Caenorhabditis elegans: one gene and its partners. The protein of the gene in region 4 interacts with the protein of the main gene of each other region in a pairwise test. Each region holds a gene or a part of one and is shown on either strand. Other genes may lie near its edges.

What was found.
Region 1: the proteins of arrd-24 (region 4) and T21B6.3 interact in a two-hybrid assay, tested with the Caenorhabditis elegans proteins (one large-scale study listed by BioGRID).
Region 2: the proteins of arrd-24 (region 4) and Y55F3BR.2 interact in a two-hybrid assay, tested with the Caenorhabditis elegans proteins (one large-scale study listed by BioGRID).
Region 3: the proteins of arrd-24 (region 4) and M03F4.6 interact in a two-hybrid assay, tested with the Caenorhabditis elegans proteins (one large-scale study listed by BioGRID).

What each region holds. Positions count from the first base shown.
Region 1 is NC_003284.9:10,944,646-10,950,925, forward strand, and holds T21B6.3 (Apple domain-containing protein), read right to left. Parts: upstream 4,308-6,280; 5' UTR 4,258-4,307; coding exon 4,200-4,257; intron 4,025-4,199; coding exon 3,944-4,024; intron 3,680-3,943; exon of another isoform or gene 3,616-3,679; intron 3,600-3,615; coding exon 3,513-3,599; intron 3,261-3,512; coding exon 3,033-3,260; intron 2,986-3,032; coding exon 1,268-2,985; intron 1,219-1,267; coding exon 1,088-1,218; intron 1,039-1,087; coding exon 982-1,038; intron 928-981; coding exon 822-927; 3' UTR 515-821; downstream 1-514. Other genes in the region: K09C8.7 (uncharacterized protein), read right to left, coding at 6,212-6,280.
Region 2 is NC_003282.8:856,978-861,973, forward strand, and holds the start of Y55F3BR.2 (BPTI/Kunitz inhibitor domain-containing protein), read left to right. Parts: upstream 1-1,952; 5' UTR 1,953-1,954; coding exon 1,955-2,003; intron 2,004-2,053; coding exon 2,054-2,177; intron 2,178-2,802; coding exon 2,803-2,957; intron 2,958-3,150; coding exon 3,151-3,273; intron 3,274-3,798; coding exon 3,799-3,922; intron 3,923-3,972; coding exon 3,973-4,082; intron 4,083-4,129; coding exon 4,130-4,242; intron 4,243-4,996.
Region 3 is NC_003284.9:4,963,902-4,971,285, reverse strand, and holds M03F4.6 (EB domain-containing protein), read left to right. Parts: upstream 1-1,957; 5' UTR 1,958-1,964; coding exon 1,965-2,046; intron 2,047-3,026; coding exon 3,027-3,164; intron 3,165-3,290; coding exon 3,291-3,404; intron 3,405-3,454; coding exon 3,455-3,536; intron 3,537-4,085; coding exon 4,086-4,177; intron 4,178-4,224; coding exon 4,225-4,489; intron 4,490-4,533; coding exon 4,534-4,648; intron 4,649-4,937; coding exon 4,938-5,003; intron 5,004-5,056; coding exon 5,057-5,137; intron 5,138-5,182; coding exon 5,183-5,284; intron 5,285-6,675; coding exon 6,676-6,780; 3' UTR 6,781-6,873; downstream 6,874-7,384. Other genes in the region: calu-1 (Reticulocalbin-3), read left to right, coding at 391-483, 539-642, 695-1,241, 1,293-1,493; act-4 (Actin-4), read right to left, coding at 7,302-7,384.
Region 4 is NC_003284.9:13,978,527-13,982,210, reverse strand, and holds arrd-24 (Arrestin C-terminal-like domain-containing protein), read left to right. Parts: upstream 1-1,693; 5' UTR 1,694-1,704; coding exon 1,705-1,886; intron 1,887-1,930; coding exon 1,931-2,036; intron 2,037-2,130; coding exon 2,131-2,293; intron 2,294-2,336; coding exon 2,337-2,446; intron 2,447-2,491; coding exon 2,492-2,971; 3' UTR 2,972-3,142; downstream 3,143-3,684. Other genes in the region: F48F7.6 (Zf-C4pol domain-containing protein), read right to left, coding at 3,431-3,684.

The DNA of each region.
Region 1 (6,280 bases), 3.0 Mb from region 4:
ATTTAGTAAAGAAACTATTATAGGAATCGGAAACTCTGACACATCCTTCAAGATCTACATGGAAAGTAAGATGTGCCACAAATGAAGATGTCGAGGAAAAGGATTTTGTTCTTGAAGGATTTTGACGATGGCAACAAGAAATATTGGGTATTGCACCCTTGTAGTACAACGAGTACATATGTTCTATCATGTTTAATCAATGAGTTGTATGAATCTCCTAGAAGGGGGAGATAATTTAGATAATGGAGGGGTGCATATACTACATAACAATTAAAAATAGCATTGATCCCATGTTATCTTCTGCTGACAGTCTAAACAACTGATAATTGTATACCTGCATCTGATTCTATTTTTAGTTTTACCTATAAATCAGCAAACTTGGTTAATAAATACCAATATACTTTAATGAAAATTCGTGTTAAGGAGTGGTTTTCTGAAACTGTACAACACTTTGATTGAAAGCTTGTTTGAATGTTAACTGGCTTGTATGTTTTGATGTTATATTCAATGGGCTGTGAAACAACTTTATTGTAGAATTTAAGAATAAAAATTTAAACCACATTGAAAATGCAAATTATGGCAGTGAATGCTATTAAAACATAAATTTCAAAGATAAAACAAACTTTAATTTAACCTATCGTTGAAAGGCATTTGCATAATGGAAGACGTGAAAAATACAATTAATTGACTAGATATAGAGATTCGACTATTTGAGGCGGTGTTGTATGAAAGTATTGAATATAAGTACAAATTGAAAAACATAAATATGAAAGAAATGGGCGATGTAACCCTGTCTGACTGATTTTTTTTAACACAAAAAATTAGCATGGTGGCTTTGGTGGGCACTGAGTCAATCCACGGCATTGCTGGGATTCTTCGGCAAGACCGATGCAGTGACATCCGGATTCTCCAACACATTGACGGCTTCTGTAAGATATAATTCAGATTCTTAACATGTCTTCATCAAAAACTATTTCAGACCTAGATTGTACTCCAACTTCGCATGCAAGTTGTGTTGAGCATGGACTCCATTCGCACCTGGACATTTGAAAAAACTAATTAATACCAATGTAACAGTTTTAACTACCAAGTATTCCAAGCGCATTGAGGAGCACATGACTGACTGTTACATTCCTTTTCTTCACGATCTGGTCCATCGCAGTGGCATGATGAATCCGGACTTCCAGCGCTGTTCAAACATGTACGAGTGCGAATTGACTGTAATTCATTATTACCCCGTTCTGAACATATATTCAATATATCTCACCTGACCACCCCCGCATTCCTTGTCGCACATGGACCAGTGACACCACTCAGACCAGTTGCAGCAAGATTGCCCTTCGCAAAGGGTAGTTTCAATACTTGGTCCTTGGCAAGTAGTGGCTTCTTGCCCGTTTGGTCCAAGGCACCCACGAGTTCTAGTCCGTTGTCCGGGTCCGCACTTTGAAGAGCATCCTGACCACTCGCACCACTCTGTCCACTCGGCACATGGAGGTCCGTAGCAGAATTGGCTCTCTTCGTTTGGTCCTTGGCAATCAGTTCCAAATTGGCAGACACGTTGTCTCCGCTTCATTCCGCTTCCGCATGAAGCCGAGCATGTAGACCACTCTTGCCATGGAGACCAAAGAGAGCATGGTCCACCATCACAGGCACGTTGTTCAGTCTTTGGTCCTTGACAGAGATGATCACCGAAAACACCTCCGAGACATGTACGCTGACGAACTGCGACTCCTTGTCCGCAAGTCACAGAGCATTGTCCCCAATCTTCCCATTGAGACCATTCTGGGCATGGTCCAGCACTGCATTGCTCAGATTCGTAGTCCTTTCCTTCACATCTGTTTGTACCAAGATGACAGAATCGAGTTCTCTCGCGTTGACCTGATCCACAGCTAGCAGAGCAAGTTGACCACTCGCACCATTCAGACCATGTCTGACATGGGCCAAGATTACATGGCTCAGTCTCATAATCAGCTCCTTGGCAGTTATTGGTGGAGCATTCACGTCTTCTTGATTTAGCTCCATCTCCACAGGTGCATGAGCAGGTAGACCAGTCAGACCAATCATGCCAAACTCCAGAAACAACTGGTGGGTTGACACATCCTTGTCCATCGCATGCTGGCGGTGGTGGGGGAGCTGGACGATATCTGGTTGGGTAGGGCTGTGGAAGTGGTGGCTGAGTGGCAGTGTTGATCACTGGAGCAAGAACTGGCGGTGGTGTTGGGCGTTCTTGTTGTGGGGCCTGTGGAACTGGGGCGCAGAAACCTCCTGGGCATGGATCAGCCTTTGGACGAGCTGGATGTCTCTGATTGAAGTTCTCGCGGTATTGAGACATTCTCTGCTGATAGAGTTGAGCATGTTGATCGAGTGGAGAACGCTCAAGTTCTGGTTGCTGCTGTGGCTGCTGCTGTTGCGGATGTTGTTGTGGAGGGACTGGCCCACTTTGGAGTTGGATTTGAGATTGTCCGAACTGTGTTGTCTGTTGTGGCTGTTGCTGTGGATTTTGTTGACGTTGCTGCTGTTGTTGCTGCTGTTGTTGTTGTTGCTGCTGTTGTTCTCTCTGCCTTTGAAGATGAAGCTCGTGAGTTCCAGAGAAGGACTGTGGCTGTTGTGGTGGTCGCTGTGGTGGCTGTGGCTGTGGTTGTGGCTGTGGCTGTGGTGGACGTTGCTGCTGCTGCTGTTGCTGTTGTTGTTGTTGTTGCTGGTGCTGCTGAAGACGAGCCTGATGTTCTCTGTGTTGTTGTTCTCTTTGTTGCTGTTCCCTTTGCTGCTGCTGTTGCTGTGCACTTGGGTACTCTGGGGCACGTGGCGCATACTGCTGCGCTGGTGGAGCTGGGACTCTTTGTGGAGCAGATCTAGCTGGACATCCACGACGTTGGATTTTTCTTCCGTATTCGCATGCCTGAGAGCGCACCTCGTGTCCGTTACTGGAGCAATGGGACCAATCTGTCCAATCTCCGACTCCTTCAACAGCTTCATCGCCTTGTTCTAAAATCACAACTTTATATAAACCGAAGTAACGATCGAAATCTTACGTCTCTTCTTTCTGTCAACCTTATCGGTAGACGAAGCCAAACCGTCCTCCTCCAGTGGTGGATGAGCATCAAATTGGTGGCAGTCGACGACCAGTTCGAGCATTCTAACAATATCTTTCTTGTTTTCTGGCTTTTGCTCGACAAGGTCAATTTTATCTTGAACCGAGTTGTCGGAGAAGAGGTAGCAGAAATGCTTCTTTGTTTCGTTATGCAAGTAGTAGTAAACCACTGAAAACAAGTTGAACTTTTTTGTGAAGTTAATGTTTTTTTAGTCTTCATGACCCCAAACGCAGAGATCAAATTTCGAAGACGGAGTTTTGCGAATCAAGGAGGGGCAGTGTAAATTTGCAAAAGCAATCAGTTAAAGAAGCAGAAAAAGAGATATTTGCGGATGAGTGTCATTTGTTATAGATATTGCTTGACACATCACATCAATCTTCTTGGGCCGGATAGGATCCGGTGCAAAAATGAAAATTTTACCTGCGGAGCACTCTGGGAAGATGTCCACGCATTTCTTCTGACACTCGTAGGCGGTTGCCTGCATCATCAGCAATGGAGATGATCCTTCTGAAATAATCAAAGTGGTACGTGGACACACACGAAGTTAATGACGGATAATTGATTTATGTTTGTTTTGCTGCAAACACCTAATGCGTGAATTGTCAATAAATGAAACTAAAACAATAATTTATTTTTCATCAATGATTTTAGAAATACTAGTTTTTAGATGACTTGTATCAATTTTTTAGTGAAACGCATATGTTAATTAGAAACCAATAATATTCAAAAGGAAAATAAGATTTTCAGAACAATACAGTTTTTAAAACCTAGAGAAGTTTAATGAATTATAGTGATGAGATAAAATATTAATTTTTCAGGGGAAATGACCTGATGTAATTCAATGAACTTACCAAGAGCAGTGTTGTTGTGCATTCTGGCGCACAAATCATCAATTTTTGTGACATTTTTTCCTCTGGATACCGAGATTCTACCTGAAACTTGTTTTTCTTACACTTGCGTATCAACTTCACTGTTAGTAATACCTTTTGTGTATGACAAGCTTGAGGTTCATGCTTTATTTTTTTACCTATTACACCTTACTTCTCGCCCTCTCATAATGAAAGCTGAACCTCAAACCAGTTTCCATCTATAAACATATATACTCACCTGCGTCGGCTAGGCAGAACAAGACCGCTAAGGCGAATAAGCCTACAGTAGCCTGCATGTTGCGGCTGATAATGGACGGGACCGCGGACACGAGAGTGCACAACAAGTGACTGACGATGATACTGGGCGGAGTCGAGAAACAAGAAGAGAGGTAAGAAAAAGAAGAAGATGAAGAGGAAAAAGAAGAAGAAGAAGCTGAAACATCAGGGAGTGATAAAAAGAATGAGGAAGGGGGTTGAAAATACTACTGTAGTATAGGAAAGAAGAGAGGTATCAACTTTTCTTTCTATTTTTTTTAAGGAAAAATGCTCTACGCTTCTACTCAAACCAAAAGTGAGGCTAAAGATCAAAAAGAGTTGTGCGGTGAGCAGAAAAGTTAGAGAGAAACAGGAAGCAGTAATGGATGCTGAGAACGTTTTCAAATCGAACTCAAAGCCTGCGAGTATGCATTGATTATGATCGAGTCTTGAAGAGTAAAATACTAGACCAAAACAGAAATTATTCAGAATTGAGCAAACCTGTGCGGGTCAGAAAGTCATGTTGCCTTCAGGAAGTAGCAAAGATTAAAAAAAAACAATTAATTTTAAAAAGTATACAAACTTTCAAGTGAAAAAAAAAACAAAATTGCTTTTCTCATAGGTAATCTGTTTGAAATTGGAATTTGTTGTTCCTATTCATATGTCTTTTGGTGTATTAAAACCCCATATCTAAACAAAATAAGTTCTCCTCCCTATGTCGTCACATATCCATCAACTCCACTTTGAGTGATATTTTATCCTCGGCACTTTTCTTCGTTTCACAACACAACACAACATTTCGCACACATTTTTCATCCTCGTTATTTATTGCACAGTTGTTCAATTTAAAATCACTTTGAGGAGGTCCACCGCGGTCATTTGTTGCTCGGAAACTATACTATAATGTTCGAAGATGAGATTGATGACATTCTAGGAATCGACTCAAAAACTCGAAACTTTTGGTTTCTTGACAAACCCATATCATGCGAGCTTTTCGAGGTTGCAAACTTCAGGAAAGCATGCATCCGAAACGTCGAAATTTGAGCGAGCTGCTGACAAGTGCTGATGAACAAATCATATCCTTCGTGTTTTAATAAAAGCTTGGTGGCTGATGTGTCAGGCGAAAAACGAAAAAGAAAAGCAAAGAAAAGATAAGAGCAAGTCAGAAGCGGTATGGGCAACGGAAGCACACGCGACAATTTTTTCCACGAATCAGTGAGAAGCGAAGAAAGAAGAAGTTCAGGTGAAACATGAGATTCTGCTGAGAAGTGAGCAAGACAAGAGCAAAGCAGAGAGTTTGGAATGAAGCAAGTATGAAGATTATATGATTGATAGGCGGTGACTCATTAAGGTGGAATTACAAAAAATGTGAAGAGCTCATTCTTAATCACTACCAGTTGTGGGTGAATAAAATGGAGTTATGGAGACAATAATTTATGATTTAAAATATATCAAATCACTAAAAATTTCACTGTAAGTATTAAAAAAATACATCCAAAACCAGTCGTCTCATTTTGGCAGTTGGGCACATTACAACGCTGAATGCAATTTCAAACTCAATCGAAATTATGCAGCCGTAAGAATCAAAAATACTGTGAGAGAGTACAAATTATCGGAAAGTAATTTTAAAAAACTGCCCCCCCCCCCCCCGAAATTCAATGTGCCACTTCTCTTGGTTTATTCTACTTTCAGTCTCCAATTTAAACAAAAATTAGATTTTACACTCATTTCATATTCTGATTTTTATCCCAGACTGCATGTGACCACGTCACAAGTGTCACTTTTTGATTTTTCCGCAGCATTTTCTTTACGTTCATCATCCCTTAGCGTATCACAAAAATTTATTACACTTATATTACGAATACGCAAATCATATGAGCCAGACATGTGCAACAATGTGGAATGAAAAAATACATACAAATATACAAATACACAGAGGGTCGGGTGAACATTTAAAACTGAAAACCAAACTCAAAATTCAAAAGAAAAACGCATCTAAATCGCAAGACATCGGCAGTCGTATAAAGTGTTGTAGGTGTAACGGAAGTTCATGCACTTGCCAGG
Region 2 (4,996 bases), on a different chromosome or scaffold from region 4:
TGAAATTCCTGAGTACTCTTGCATAGTGATTTAGGACTTTTTCGTGAAACAATCGTAAGATCCCCTTCAATTTTGACCAATCCTCAATGTTTTTCCAGTACGATCGGAACAAAACCTCCAAAAAAAAGGCGTCCAAGGCGCGAACACTCTTGACACATTTCCCCGCCGCCGTATACTATTTGGTCAAGGAGCTTCGAAAAAGATGAAGAAGCTCGAACTGTTCAGTTTGTTTACCCATAAAGATATATATCCCTCTCGCCCGTTCCGATACTATTTGAGCACGTAATCGAGAAATAGTGTGGGATATTGAGAGTGTAAGGCGACGAGAGATCGGCTATTCACACTGGGGGACAGCAGGATCGTGTATTTCAGAAGTGGGTGGGAGATGAGATGAGGTAATTGAAAATGAGCCGCCGCCGCCGTAGCCGACCCCATTCAGTTTTAATTTCCCGTCTTTCTGCACTTTTTGATCTGACCGATTAAATAATTGATAATTTTTTAAATTTGAAACTAATAGTGTTAACATAAGTATATTCTTATCAACATTTTTGTTGTTCACAGCTTTTTTCTAGAGTTGCTCTGAAAAAAATTACAGCGGCCGGGCCGACACTTCGCAGGTTTCCAGTTTGGGCCAGCGAAGTGTCAGCCGCTGTCACTTTCAAAGCTTTAAAAACATTTTTGTAGTTAATAACGTTCTCTAGCTCACACCTGAAACGGCCTTTTGGGACGAGTCTGTCTGTGCCCGCAAAGTGTCGGCCGCTGTAACATTTTCCAAGGAACAGCTTTAAAAAACTGTCAACTGCAAAACTTTTAAATATATTATTATCTAAATTATTGTAGTTGACAATTCTTTTCTAGCTCCGCTATGAAAAAATTGCAGCGACCGACACCTCACTGGTTTCATTTGGGACGCTGCCTGTCTGGGCCAGCGATGTGTCGGCCGCTGTAACTCTCAAAACTGTTTAATATATAACACTATCTACATTTGTGTGGTTAAAAAATTTTCAAGCTCAGCCCTGAAAAAAGTTACAGTGGCCGACACTTCGTAGGTTTCTTTTGGGCCACTGCCCGGAAGGTGTCGGCCGCTGTAACATTTTCAAGTAAAGAGCTGGAAAAAAGTTGTTCACTGCATAACTGAATTTTTATAGTTGACAACTTTTCTATAGCTGGCTCCTGAAATGAGCGCCGCCGACACCTCACTGGTCTAGATTCCGGACCAGCCAGGTGAGCAAGTTTTTCTACAGAAAAATCAAAACTTCTTCTCACTTTCCACACTTTTGTCAATAAAACCCCAAAATTTCAAGTGTTTTTCAACAAGCACCGCACCGCTAACTTTCAAGTGTGATTTTTCACGCGTTGACCCTTTAGAGCTCCGTGTTTGCTTTTCATTTATGAAAGTAATTGATAGCGGTCATTCAAATGTACAAATATCGTGGTTATATTCATTATTTACTTCCATATTTTAAGTTATATCCCGCGCAATTAGAAAAAAAGAACAAAAAAAGGCAAACCTATAAAGTGTCGGCCGCTTTAACTTTTTCCAGGGCAAAGCTAGAAAAATATTGTCAACAACAAAAATGTAGACGGTATTAAGTTAGACGGTTTTGTAAGTGAAAAATTTTTTTATAGCTCCACTCTGAAAGGAGTCCTAGCAGCCGACACATAGCGGGTTGGCATTATAGACACCTGTGAGATGTCGGCCGCTCTAACTTTGTTCACAGCAAGTGTAATAGCGTTTTTTAAATAAAAAAATATAACTGATATTGCACTAAAAAATTTCGTAGTTGACAACTTTTTTCTAGCTTTGCCCTAAACAAAGTTAGAGCGGCTGACATCTGGCGGTTCCAAAAATAGGGCCTAGAAAACCGTGAGATGTCGGCCGCATACTTCAACTTCTAACTTCTTTATTTCTCAAATACTCTTCTTTAAAATTCATTCCAAAAACTTTTCAGGTATGATACCGTACCTACTGTTAATATGGGGTGCCCTGGGAGCTTCTGAGGGTGAGTACCAACTCTTTGAGCTGAGAAATTGTTGAAAATCAAATTTCCAGCTCTCCCAGAATGCCAAATCAATGAAATTTGCTCAAACTGCAGCCTAAAAGCAGAGCTCTCAACAAAATGTGAAATAAGCCAAGATGTCAAAGAAGCCTTTCTTTTTTGTAATCCAAGGACAAAGTGAGTTTTTTCGTAGACTACAGTACTCCAACGACGTATACAAAGTTCGAATTCAGAGTTTCCTTAAAATTTTGGGCCAAAGCTCAAAAAACTAGAATTCTCTCTAGCTCAATTTTAAAACTTTTCCGGGCTACTGCATGCAGCGCCAAAGTACTCAAACACTGAACTTGACAAGCTTTTGAGCTGGAGCTCTAAAAATTTCGGAGTTTACTAATGAACTATAGAGAATTCCAATTTTTAACAAAAAATTTGTGGAAAAATTTTTGAACTTCAGTTATGATTAATTTTGCCAAGGAGACGGGTGAAAATTATCTTCGAGTTTGTATGTCGAAAATGTTATGTTAAAATTTGAAATCTTTGCAAAAATTGGACTCGAACACAAAAAACTAGACCCCGGTAGCTCAATATTGAAAATTTCCGGGTTACTGTAGCTCCAAAAGTCCGCAAACACCGACTACCGTATTCCAATCAACCAAACTTGACAGGATTTTGAGCTAGTGTTCTGAAAAGTTAGGAGTGTACTAATTGAGCTATGAGAAATTTGAATTTCTAACTGAAAATTCGTGAAACAACTCAATTTTTCTGAAAATTTGAGTTCATTCCATATCAATATTTAACTTTCCAGAAAAATCGATATCGAACACAGTTCCTATTTGACGTGCACAAATGGTACCTGGAAGCAGGAGATTTGCTCAGAGGATGGACGGGTGCATTTCAGTCTGAGTACCCGGGATTGTGTGGATCCGGCTATGCAGGTTTTCCACTCACAGGGGACTTCTGGTAAGCTTTTTTTAGAGAGAACAAAAATGTCGGAATTTTTTTTCAAAAAGTTTTTAATTATGAATTCTAATTGTTTTATAATGATTCAGCTTACCGAGAGTGAGTAGAATACGAATTTGGTAGTTAAAACAAAAAAGTTGAAAAAACTGAAAAAAAAATCATTGGAATTTTTACATATTTTAATTTTTTTTAGGATCCGGTCGGGTTGGAGACGTATGTTCCTTTAACACAGATTGCCTTGGCGGAATGTTCTGTGCAATTGGTCAATGTAGATGTCTATCGACTTATGTCGCTGTCGATGCTTATTGTTATGAAAGTAAGTTTGCCTACGTGCCTACATCCTGCCTACCTTGTGCCTACCTTATGGCTACTTGCATATAGATAAGCATGGCCAAAGTCTGCGGGACTATATCTTGCCTATTCTGTGCCTACCCTATGCCTACATTTTGCCCACTTGTCTACATGCCTACCTTCACCGTTGCCTAGCCAAGGTTACTTCTTGAAGCTTACGTGAATACATCTAGCCTACTTTACGCCTACATCCTGCCTATTTTGTGCCGAGCTCATGCCTACCTTTCACCTACCCATGGCTACTTTGAGTCTAGTTTGTGTATATTTTAAGCATATCCCATGCCTAGCTTGTGCCTACATCGGACCTATCGAAAGCCTGCCTAGCTTCTGGGCTACCGTATGCCTGCGTTAAGCCTGCATCATGCCTGCTTCTCACATTTGCCTAATTAAACTCTGCCTATACAATTCCTGTCGAATTAAGTAGGCAAATAGGTAGATGGGTAGGCAGGTAGGAATAGGCATAGGTACTAACTTGTACCTACATTTTCAGAAATCTCGCCATCCGATTCCGGGTGCTTCTACGATACCCAATGCGCATCGGTCTGGCCAGATTCCTACTGTAAAAACGGACAATGTATGTGCCCGTCGGAGGATATGATCGCAGTTAAGACCAAGTTGGTTTCATGCTCCGTGAGCCCAGATGACTAACCTTAACCATTTCCAGAGACGGTACCCTCTGCGTGTGGTCCACAAGCTCCGAGCCATCCTGCCCGCTGCCTTCCCTCCCGCCTCCGGACTCGCCGTCGAGTTTGGTGGTTCTTCCAGCGGCTGCTGGTAAGTTTCAGGATAATTTTCAGAATTTTCAGTACATTAAATTTCAGGTAAAACCAGTGTAACAATTGCTCCGTGCAACCCGCACAGCTCGGACACTCCAAAACGAGAGGAGGACCTTTTGGGCAAACAGCACGACTTCAAGTGCTCGGTTCGGGGATTCGTGAGTTTTTTTTTTGAGTTTGGAGTGAAAATCCAAATAGAGCACGCCAGGAGCTTCAATTTAAGTATAATCATGACTAGGTTCCGAACAATTTCGGGTCCCACCACGAATTTCACCGGGGTTACTGTAGTTTTCGTGGCGAGACCCAAACCGAAGGAAAGTATGTCATGATTATACTTATTTTGAAGCTCTTGGCGAGCTGGACCGCAATAAAACAAGTAGGATTCATATTTGTGATTTTTTGAAAAAAAAATTTGCAACTGTTTTTTTTTCGAAATTTCCAAAGAAAACCCAAATTCAAAGATTTTTCGCAATTTTCTCAATTTTTAATTTTAAATGCAAAAATAATGCTCTGCTCATCGCGAGCTTCAATTTAAGTATAACCATAGCCTATCTAGCTCCAAATAAAGCAATTTCGGGTCCCACCACGAAAGTCTCGGGTTACTGTAGTTTTCCTGGCGGGACCAAAAAATTGTGAGAACCTAGTCATGTTTATACTTAAGCTGAAGCTCTTAGCATGCCGATTGTTAATTTTGTAACAAAATTTGAAAAAAAAACGGAGAATTTGCGAATTTTCAAAAAATTAAAAAATATTTCCAAAATGTTTTTTTTTAATTTTTCTAGTTTTCTCAATTTTCCACTTGAGTGACTCTTTTGTACTTTAGTTAAACAAAGCTGATTCATGAGAAGTATAAAAATGCTTACTCAAAATTGGGTCCCACCACGAAAACTACAGTATCCCCGACGATTTTCG
Region 3 (7,384 bases), 9.0 Mb from region 4:
ACCCTGTGAAATCATAAGAGTAGCCTCTGGCTAACGTATAGGCATCGAATTTGTTTGCGTGAGCAGCAATATGAGGTATTGAGAAACTGTCAACACTGGCGGGTGAGATTGACAGTTCGCAAGCAGGCCAACTCACTCCTTCCAATCGGGCGTCTGTCCGTAGTTTTGGGCTGTCTTCCATCTTTCTGCCTTCAGACAATCGCTAGACGGTGCATAAAAAGTGTTCCCGATTGCTTGACCTATTTATGTATATCCTTTTAAAGAGCCGTCAGTATTCCCCACTTCACATCGTAATTGTTAATTAGTACACACTTATCCTATGTTTTGTATTCTCAATTGTTTTTGTTTCAAAAATGATTTATTTTTAATTTCAGGTAGTAGGATCTGGACATGAAGGTTCTTCTCTTCGTTGGTCTCCTCGCAGCCACCGCGCTTGCTTCCCATCACTCATCCGATCCATCGAAAGATGGTGAACATTTCAAGGTAATTTGCAGTTTTACGCATAATCTTTTACAAATATCTGTTCTGTTATTTTTAGGGAAAGGAACATGACAAGAAGTACGATCACGAGCAGTTCCTCGGAAAAGACACCGCTGCTGAATTTGATGAATTAACACCAGAAAAGTCAAAGGAGAAGCTTGCGTATGTTCTTTTAAAGTCTCATGACCTTCAAATCAACGTCTATTATTTTCAGCAAGCTCGTTCCAAAGATGGATGCTGACAGCGATGGCTTCATCGAGGAGAACGAGCTCAAGGATCACATCAACTTCATGCAAAAGAGATACGTCAACAACGACGTGGACCGTACCTGGAAGAACTACAAGGCCGAGAAGATTGTCGACGGAAAGATCAAGTGGGAAGACTACAGAGAGATGGTCTACGGATCTGCTGACGGAGCTGGCCAGGAGCTTTCTCCAGAATACGCTAAAATGATCGCACGTGACGAGAAGAGATGGGCTGTTGCCGACTACGACTCAAACGGAGCCCTCGACAGAACCGAATACGGTTGCTTCATGCATCCAGAAGACTGTGATCACATGAGAGACGTTGTCGTCGCCGAGACTGTCGATGATATTGATAAGAACAAGGACGGATCTGTGGATCTTGATGAGTACATTGGAGATATGTATAGACCAGATGATTACCCAGAGTTGAATGGAAAAGAACCAGACTGGGTTCAATCTGAGCGCGAAATGTTCAAGGAGCACAGAGACAAGGACGGAGATGGAAAACTCAATCAGGTATAATAATGTCTATAATATGATGTCTAATTAATAATGATTATATTTCAGGAGGAGATGCGCGATTGGATTATGCCAGTTGGATTCGACCACGCCGAGGCTGAGGCTCGTCACTTGGTTGGAATCGCCGATGACAACAAAGACGGAAAACTGAATCTCGATGAAATCGTCGCCCACTACGACACATTCGTCGGATCCCAGGCCACCGACTACGGAGAGCAACTCCAGAAACACGACCCAGCCGAGCTCTAAAATTTTTGTTTTTCTCCAAACAGTATTACGCGAAAATTCTCATTTGAGATCTGTTAGTAATAATAATGTGTGACTGGTCTTCGAAACTCATTCTTACTTAACAAAAAATGTTCACTGTTCTTATTTATCTCATTATTGTTTGCCTTTTTCAATGTCATAAGTATATAATTTTCAAGCGCATGCATTTTTGAATTTTTCGGATTTTTCGAATTTTACTGGTTTTAATAATTATCAACAAATAAAAGTTTATGCATTCAAAAATCCAATTCCTTACAGAACAACGGAAGGTTAATGAAATAATTTAGTGTGTCAAATGTGTACGACTTCGCCATGTCTTCGCACAGCGGACGTGGCGACGATCATGACGGTGTTGACCCCTTGATGATTTTCCTTTCATAGTCGCATCTCTGTCTCTCTTTCCGCAGGGAAATCTTCAAATCGGTTCTGTCCTAATTTTTCTTCGCCATAGTAATGCATAGCCCATTCATCCAAGTGTTATTCTTGTTTCTGATTATTGATCGATTAGCTTTAGCGTTCGATGTTCCGTGTGCACGTGAGTCAATTTGAATGTTTTATATCGTAGTTGTATGAAACATTGAGCTAATACATGTATACTGGTTCTTGGAATTGAAAATTTTTCTTATTATATATTTGAATAATGCCTATAATTTGTGAAAATTTCAGAAAAATTCTAACTTTATTACAATTAAATAACGAAATAATAAAGTTTTGAAATCCTAAAATCGCTTATTTTCAGAATTTCTATTTAATATTTCCAAATTGTATCATGGCTTATTTTTGTTTGAAGGCAGTGTATGTAGTTTTTGAAAAGTACTCTTGAACTGTAAAAACAACTTGCAAATTTTTAAGGTCATTTGACATAACAATGGTTACATGTTGTTCTATTGATTTAGTGAATTCGTTGAAAAATTCAAAATTGGCTTCAAATAAATTGAAATTCAAGCCAATCAGCTAGTTTACCAGACTAAAAGAAAACTCTAAATTGCACTGAAATGATGGAAATGAAAAATCTTCAGGAAGTGTCTGAAAATGTCTTTTTTTTTTGTTTAGTTTAGAGCTGTTTTTTTTTAACCTAGAAATTAATAATTTAACAATGCAATTAGGCTCGAAAACATGAATCAAAAGCTTTCGAATATTCAAAAAAAAACATCAGTCGTTAAAAAGCCGCTCCTTCAGTTGTACAATGCCCAAATGTCATAGTAAAACTTTCCAAAAATGTTTTGATTTTTTCAAAATTACATTTAAATTATTTTCCTACGAGTTTTATATTCTTACCCAGGATATTCAATCTGTAGCAATTCTTAAATTTACTCAAAAAGTTCACATTTTTGGAAACTTTGATCAAAAATTTTGAACAATTCAAAATCTTTTAGAAGTTTTTTATCATGATATTTGGCCATGCTAGATTATACTACGTAACCTTTAATATGATTGAACTATCATAATTTATAGATAGGAAAGCAGTTTTCTCAGTCCCCCACACTTCAACAAAAATATGTTTATTTTTTTCAGAAAAGCTTATTGGAAGTGACTGCCTATTTGATGAAGAATGCTATGGAATGAACTCAGTGTGCAGAAACTCCCGATGTACCTGCCCCACAAACTTTGAAGAATACGACATCGATGAACGAACGACAATTTGCCGATTAGGTGACATCATAATTTTCCTCGTTTTTTTTTGTCTCTTTGGTTTTAGACTTCTTACAGTTCTCAAATGATTCACCGAACCGAACCGGTCTTTTGCCTCTTGTTGTATAAATTAGCTTTTGCTTTCAGCACCCGCCAAAATCGGAGATTCCTGTCAACGCGATTGCAAGCCTCCCTTATTGTGCAGAGATGGTAAATGCGAGTGCTGGGGTGGTAGTATTGTTGACGGAAAATGCGTTGTTCGTAAGTGAAGCTGATGTCTAAAGATTTGTGAAGGATGAGTGGATTTTCAGTGTGTCCAGTTGGTCAGCAGCTTTATGGCGTCGAATGCACTCGTGTTGCCCATTATCAGCAACCGTGTGAGAAAGACAGCCAGTGAGTGAGAAAAATAGTTATAAAACAATATACCTAGATATTGAAATTGTGAAGGTCAACTAGAATTGGTCTAAAACATGAAAAACTGGCAAATTACTTGAATTGAAGCAGGGGGTGTTCTACAAAAAGAAAAGCAAGAGTGGGATTATGTTAATATTTTTCTTCAAAATTTAGTGATCGAGTAAGTCTAAATATTTAATTCAGTTGAAAATTATTTTTTATTTTAGTTGAAATAGTTCGAAAGACGCTTAGAAATTGTTAGAAAAATGTAAACTGACTGAAAAAAATCCCACAAATTATTGCACTGAAAATCCCAACTTTCAGACAATTTTTGAGCATTTTTCCTGTTGCTTGAATTGATATGAAAACTATGTTTTATAGTCTTCTACTAAATTTTGATGAAAAACATTGGGAGAACTTGCGGCTCTGACTGATTTTGTAGGATTACTGGTCGGCATTTGAAAATTGAAAAAAAAAACTATTTTGAAAAGTTTCAGAGTGTATTTAGGTATAAATATCAATGACGCTACTTCATCTATTCATTTACAGATGCGTCGACCCATTTAACGCCTGCATTGCTGGAACATGTTTGTGTGCTCCTGGAACAACGAGAGATACTGAACGGGGATTCTGTCACGCTAGTTGGTCAATTCTACCCTACACAAAGCCAATTCCCAATTCATTTCAGCATGTCCCGATGGGATGCATCCTCGTCAAACATGCCGTCGGCTGTTCATCAACGACATTGATATGCTTGAGAACGCCGCCAACACCGATAGCTGCCCATTAGGCTATCGATGCGTCACGTATGGCAGCCCATATGTGGGTCATTGTTGTCGGCTACGGTGTCCATATGGAGAGCCGGATTTGAGTCAGTCGTGTGACGCGGGAGCATCTCCAGACTCAAAATGCAGACCACTCACTCACTTCTGCTTCACTGTCAGTGAGCCAGGGTATGTTGAGAGGGGTGGAAAATGTTTCTAGAGTTTGTATTCAGATGGAAATCGTCGCTGTGTTGTCCCAGACCATGTCGTGATCCGACACCCCTCTATGTGAACGGACAGTGCCTTTCAATTGCTCATAGAGGTGATCCTTGTCAAATTGATCAGCAGGTTGGTGAACATGCTCAAAGGAGGAATAACGGTTTTTAAATGGCTTTAAAAACCAAGCTACACAACCAAACTTCTGAAAAGGATGCAAAAAATGTTTGAGGAGTCTGAAACACTGTATTTTACAACCATAGTTAGTCTATTGAAGCTTAAAAATTGTTGAGAAATTGTATGAGAAGCCGAATTTCAGCAAAAGCATTTTATATTTATATACATTTTATATTTTTTATATATTTTTTAAAAATATGTATACTACAAATATCATATTTTCATCTAAATTTTGAATTTTCAGTGCGAGGGAGGAATCACAATGTCCTGCACGCTAGGCTCTTGTCAATGCAAACTTGGATATCACGAGGTTCGCAGCAAATTGTTTTTTCTCAAATTCCCAAAAATCACAAATTATTCCAGAATAACGACGAGAGATTCTTAACGTGCACCAAAGACTGTACCCTCGAAGAAGTCGCTAGTAACGATAGATGCCTGGCAAAAGTGAGAAAATTGCCAGATTTTTTTGTGTAATTTTTTGATTTTCAGGTACAACTCGGTGCCCGCTGCTATTCGAACAAGCAGTGCATTCAATCAGCAGAATGTCGCTTTGGAACCTGTCAATGTAGATGCGGGTACAAACAAGTCAAAGTGAGTCAGATCGTGGTTCCCGGGGCCTTTTGTTTTATTGTTTCATTTGTGAATTGTTGGAGAAGGGAGGGAGGTCCGCAGCTTCTTATCGTAATGTTACAATGCCAAGGAGCTCCACAAATTTGCATCATCACTCATCCTTTCCTCTTCCCTTCTCTTCCACTTCTACTTCTCCAATAGAGGCAAAACAATCAAAAATCAGCACCACCACTAGAACGTTCTGTCATACAATTTCAAAATTCTCAATCATCAATCATTCCAAGCGTTTCGATGCATTTCAATAGAAAGAGCCGCTGGATATGATTGATTCTTACCAACAATAAAAGAAGGAGGAGGAGGGGGGAAAGGTTTCGCAGCGAAAAAAAAAGATTTATGAATATCTGATGATATTGAGGCAGGAAACAAAGAGACGGATGTTGGACTTTTCAAAGGTTCAATTGAAAATTAAATGAATTCCAATTCCAAGCTTTCTGGAACATTGAACTTTGAAAACTTTGTTTTAGTTCAAAAAAAAATTCTCATACGATTCGGATTGTAAAATTTTACAGGTCATACTGTAATTTTGAACACAGAAAAAGTAGTAGATGTGGGGAAATTACTGACACTGCCACTGCCATAAATAAAGTTTTCGCAAAGGAACTTATGTTTATTTTCTTCATTTTCTATAGATTAGGAATTTTTTGAGACATATATTTAAAAAAAAAAACTTTGTGAACAATTGTAAACCAAAGCTAACTTTTTTAAAAACAATCTAGAAACAAAAAAATCTGCGCGAAAATTCAGTCTTAAACTACAATTTTTGAGCTGGTTTTCCAAATTTTTAAGAGATTTTTTCAAATTTTCAATACATATTATTCACATTCAAAATGTACTTTAATTTTTAGTAATTTCCACACATGCGCGTCTGGGATTTCTTGTCTGATTTTTTATTTTTCAATCATGGACCCCCTAGGAATCAAGAACAAAAATAAAATACTAGGAGCCAAAGAAAATTTAATGACAAAACATATGGAAAGCCAAGACACGGGCAGAACCAATTATTGATTTTTTGTATTTGTGATTCACTTTAATTAGATACCTTATTTATTTTATAAAAATGCTATATTCATGTGGCAATGTTTCGACTTGTAGAAAATGAATAATAGGCTGCGTCCATATCCTGTTTTTTTCCGTTAAAAATATTTTTTCAAACATTGTATGATATATTTTTAATAACATACTTGAGTAAAACAAAATGAGACACTAATCATAAAAGCGGATCAAGAATTCCATGAATTTTTTTAATTTTTGTTGTACATTTTGTGTTCAATTCTTATTTTAAACTCAAAAAACAACATATTTTTCTAAGATTTGTTGTTTTAGTTTAAAAAAACTCACCTTCTAAATTACAGGATCAACTACTAGGAGTCCGTTGCACAAATCCAGATGATCCGCTCAGTATTGGCTCAATTTTGGACCGCGTCGGAGACATCTTCGGAAACAAACAAGGCAAATAATCTGTGTTCCGTAACAGCTACTCACTTCATCTCTCCTCCGGGTTGAATTTTCTTTATTTGTATTTTTTACATTAGATAAACTTGATCAATTTGTCTTATTAAAAGCTTTATTATGAATGTGGCTCAAATAATGAGCATGATTCAGAGAAAAAATGGTTTAAAATGTCAATTTTGTAATGAGAAAATGGGGGTCATCGGCAGTAATAGGGTACAACAACAAAAGTGATTGCATTAAACCTCAACTTCAAACCAAAGATACACAGAGAACCTAGTTATACATGCCTAGATTACTACCGGAATAGTATTGAACAAATACAAGAGAAGTTACCAATGAAGATTTGGGTGAGAATGGGAAGCATAATGCAGTCGGCTAGAGAAGTTGGAACTATTACTAGCAATGTACACGGAGAGGGTGAAGAAAAAAAAAAGAGAAAATAAAAAAAATGTAAAAGGATGGTCTGGATGGGTTGCGGGATAATACGAACTTCTTTTGAGCGTTGTGGGTGGAAGGGGCAAAAAATTTAGAAGCACTTGCGGTGGACAATCGATGGGCCGGACTCGTCGTACTCTTGCTTGGAGATCCACATCTGTTGGAAGGTGGAGA
Region 4 (3,684 bases):
TCCTCACTATTCTATCATACTGCACTCTTCTGCTTTCTAATAAAGCTCTTCTATTATTATTACAAAATATATAACATTTACTCTCTGGCTTCACCGTATTTTTTACTCTCGGGCTTCACCGTATATTTTACTCTCTGGCTTCACCGTATATTTCCCGAACTTTACCAATAATCTTAGAAAAAAATTGTCTATTCAGGGCCATATCAAGTCTCCCAAAATTCCAAAATTTTTTTTTTGTAATTTCGTCAAGGTATATGCCTGTAAAAAATAATTCGGATACAGAAACCCCTCTAGCGTGGCTTAAATTTAATTTCCAGGTCCCGAACTTTACCAATAATCTTAGAAAAAAATTTTCTATTCAGGGCCATATCAAGTCTCCCAAAATTCCAAAAATTTTTTTTTGTAATTTCGTCAAGGTATATGCCTGTAAAAAATAATTCGGATACAGAAATTCCTCTAGCGGAGTTCAAGCAGAAAAAGTGGATTTTCAGTCATACCTTTTAGTGCACAGTTTGAGAATGACTAAAAACGACCATGCAAAATTAGTAGATTTTCCAATTTTCAAAAATTAGAATCTGGCGTCAAACTAACTTTTTCAAAAATCCTGTAGCCATTTTGTTGCAAATTTTGTGTTCTTTCAGAATTTCGAAACCAAATTCAAAAAAGTGTGAAGCCAGGGAGTAAAATATTCTGTAAAGCCAGAGAGTAAAATATTCTGTGAAGCCAGAGAGTAAAATATACGGTGAAGCCAGAGAGTAAAATATTCTGCGAAGCCAGAGAGTAAAATATTCTGTGAAGCCAGAGAGTAAAATATACGGTGAAGCCAGAGAGTAAAATATACGGTGAAGCCAGAGAGTAAAATATTCTGCGAAGCCAGAGAGTAAAATATTCTGTGAAGCCAGAGAGTAAAATATACGGTGAAGCCAGAGATTAAAATATTCTGTGAAGCCAGAGAGTAAAATATTCTGTGAAGTTAAAGGCATGAAACTAAATACTCAAGATCGTCTTTTGTACATTACACTTCCAATTTAAGACTTACAGTTCCATTTCTTGCACTCCATGCAATCGTTTCTCCAGAGACGTAGTCAACTTCTGCAGAGTAGTGCACAATTTCAGTATAACTTTCCTCTTTTCCTTCACAATTACTAAACTCTTGTATGTCATTAGGTCTAGATGTCTTGGAGCTTACGTTCTGTATCGTCGTTCCCCTTCACTCCACTTCGTATGCGCAGCACCGTGAAAACAGATTTTCAAGAATCGGGCAGTGATTGGCTCGTTGGATCTCAAAACAACCTGCCCAGTAACAGTTTGACCTGGTGCATAACCTCTCGGGCTATCGAACACAATTCCAAAGTGATCCATATGTTCCATATCTAAACTAAAAAGATACAAGGAAATTTAGAATTTTAATTAAGGAAAATGTTGTATGATTATAAAATGAATGAAAACTGATAAAATGAAGTGGTTATCAAATAAATTGCCGTTTTATAATATAAATATGATTTCACAAAAATCAAATAACGCACGGTATAAGACTGATGACGACATTTTACCTCCTGATTACGCGTTTTGAGTCACAATATATTATAAAACGGCAATTTATTTGATAACCACTTCATTTTATCAGTTTTCATTCATTTTATAATCATACAACATTTTCCTTAATTAAAATTCTAAATTTCCTTGTATCTTTTTAGTTTAGATATGGAACATATGGATCACTTTGGAATTGTGTTCGATAGCCCGAGAGGTTATGCACCAGGTCAAACTGTTACTGGGCAGGTTGTTTTGAGATCCAACGAGCCAATCACTGCCCGATTCTTGAAAATCTGTATTCACGGTGCTGCGCATACGAAGTGGAGTGAAGGGGAACGACGATACAGAACGTAAGCTCCAAGACATCTAGACCTAATGACATACAAGAGTTTAGTAATTGTGAAGGAAAAGAGGAAAGTTATACTGAAATTGTGCACTACTCTGCAGAAGTTGACTACGTCTCTGGAGAAACGATTGCATGGAGTGCAAGAAATGGAACTGTAAGTCTTAAATTGGAAGTGTAATGTACAAAAGACGATCTTGAGTATTTAGTTTCATGCATTTAACTGATAACAAACTACAATATTGTTACAGGAAAAACTTCCATCTGGCCACCATGTCTTCCCGTTTGCATTTCCACTCCCGATAGAATGTCCACCTAGTTTTGAAGGTTTCCACGGCCACGTTCGTTATTCCGTGCGAGTTGAGCTTGACAGACCATGGAAGTTCAACAAAAACGAAAGGGAAGACTTCAAAGGTATTTCGAAAATTGTTAATGTGCGCAAAAAGTTATTTTTCAGTTATTCCCAACTTTGACTTGAATCATCTTCCGTTGGGAAATGTTCCTAGAATGATGAAGGATGTGAAGGACATTGGGCAAATATTTAAAAAAGGAATAGTAACAATAACTGTGAGTACAACGCTGCTACATTGATAGGTTATTTAATGCTTTCAGGTAACTATCCCCAAAGCAGGATATGCTCCTGGAGAATACCTGCCAATCACAATCGACATTGACAATGCTTCCAAACGTGCAGCAACGTTTGTGCGAGCTGAACTTCATCAGCACTCGCATTACAATGCTAGCAAAAACCATGGCCTCTTATGCACTCATTCGTCTTACCACGAACATCACAAGGATGAAAGCAAACGTATTGCAGAAGCTCGAAAAAGCATAAAAATTGCTCCAAAAACCGCTGGCCGTGAAATGCTGCGGATGAAAATCCCAAAGTCGCCACCAACATTTACAAGTCCCATTATCAGCATTGAGTATTGTCTTTCTGTGAGGTTGGACACTTTAACAACCCTTAATAATACATTGCACTGCGAGTTTGATATCATCATCGGCACAGTGCCAATAACTGAATCGATCGTGGAGCCAACGGTAACTACCTTTCCGTCTGATCCACCTGTCCTTGAGCGGCTGGATTCCTAACCTCCAGCCTATTCAACTGTGGTTCCAAGTGCTCCGACCGATGATACAGCGGGAACATCCGCTCTACCGCCGTCTTATGAGGAATCAATGTGTGTAACTAAAATTTAATTGGGTATTTTATTTTATTTTTTCTTGTATAATTGTGAATTAATAAAATTCTGGCCATTTACATTAGTCAATCAATTTTCTTTCTCTATTGCTAAACATTGAGTTTCAAAAATATTCATTTGGCAAAAAATAAGGTAGGGTAGATTCAAAAAACTATAAGGATGAATTGTAAATTACAAGTTTATTACAATCAACAGATAAGTTTAAAAAAAAACATTTCAGAAAATAATATGAGGAGTAGTGATATTCGAGATTGACGGTGAATTTTTATAGACAATTTTACAGGATTTTTTTGTGAGCCACTTTTTGTGCAGTAGTGAAACAAGATAACAGTGCAACGACGACAGCAACTTATTCTAAAAGATAGGAAATGTGAGTGGTTGTCCGGCCATAGACATTTGGACAATCTGCTTTAACAAAGACAGTACGTTGAGCAAGGCAGAAACGCTCAATAATTTCCGATTTCTTGGCCACAAGTTTGGCGGCAAGTCTTTGGCGAACACCTTTATTGTCTTCCTCTGCGTGTTTGTATTCAGATCTTTGCATTCGACGAGCTTTACGTCCTTGCTTTGCCAGAATGTGCTCAACCTCCTCTTCTGATTTTC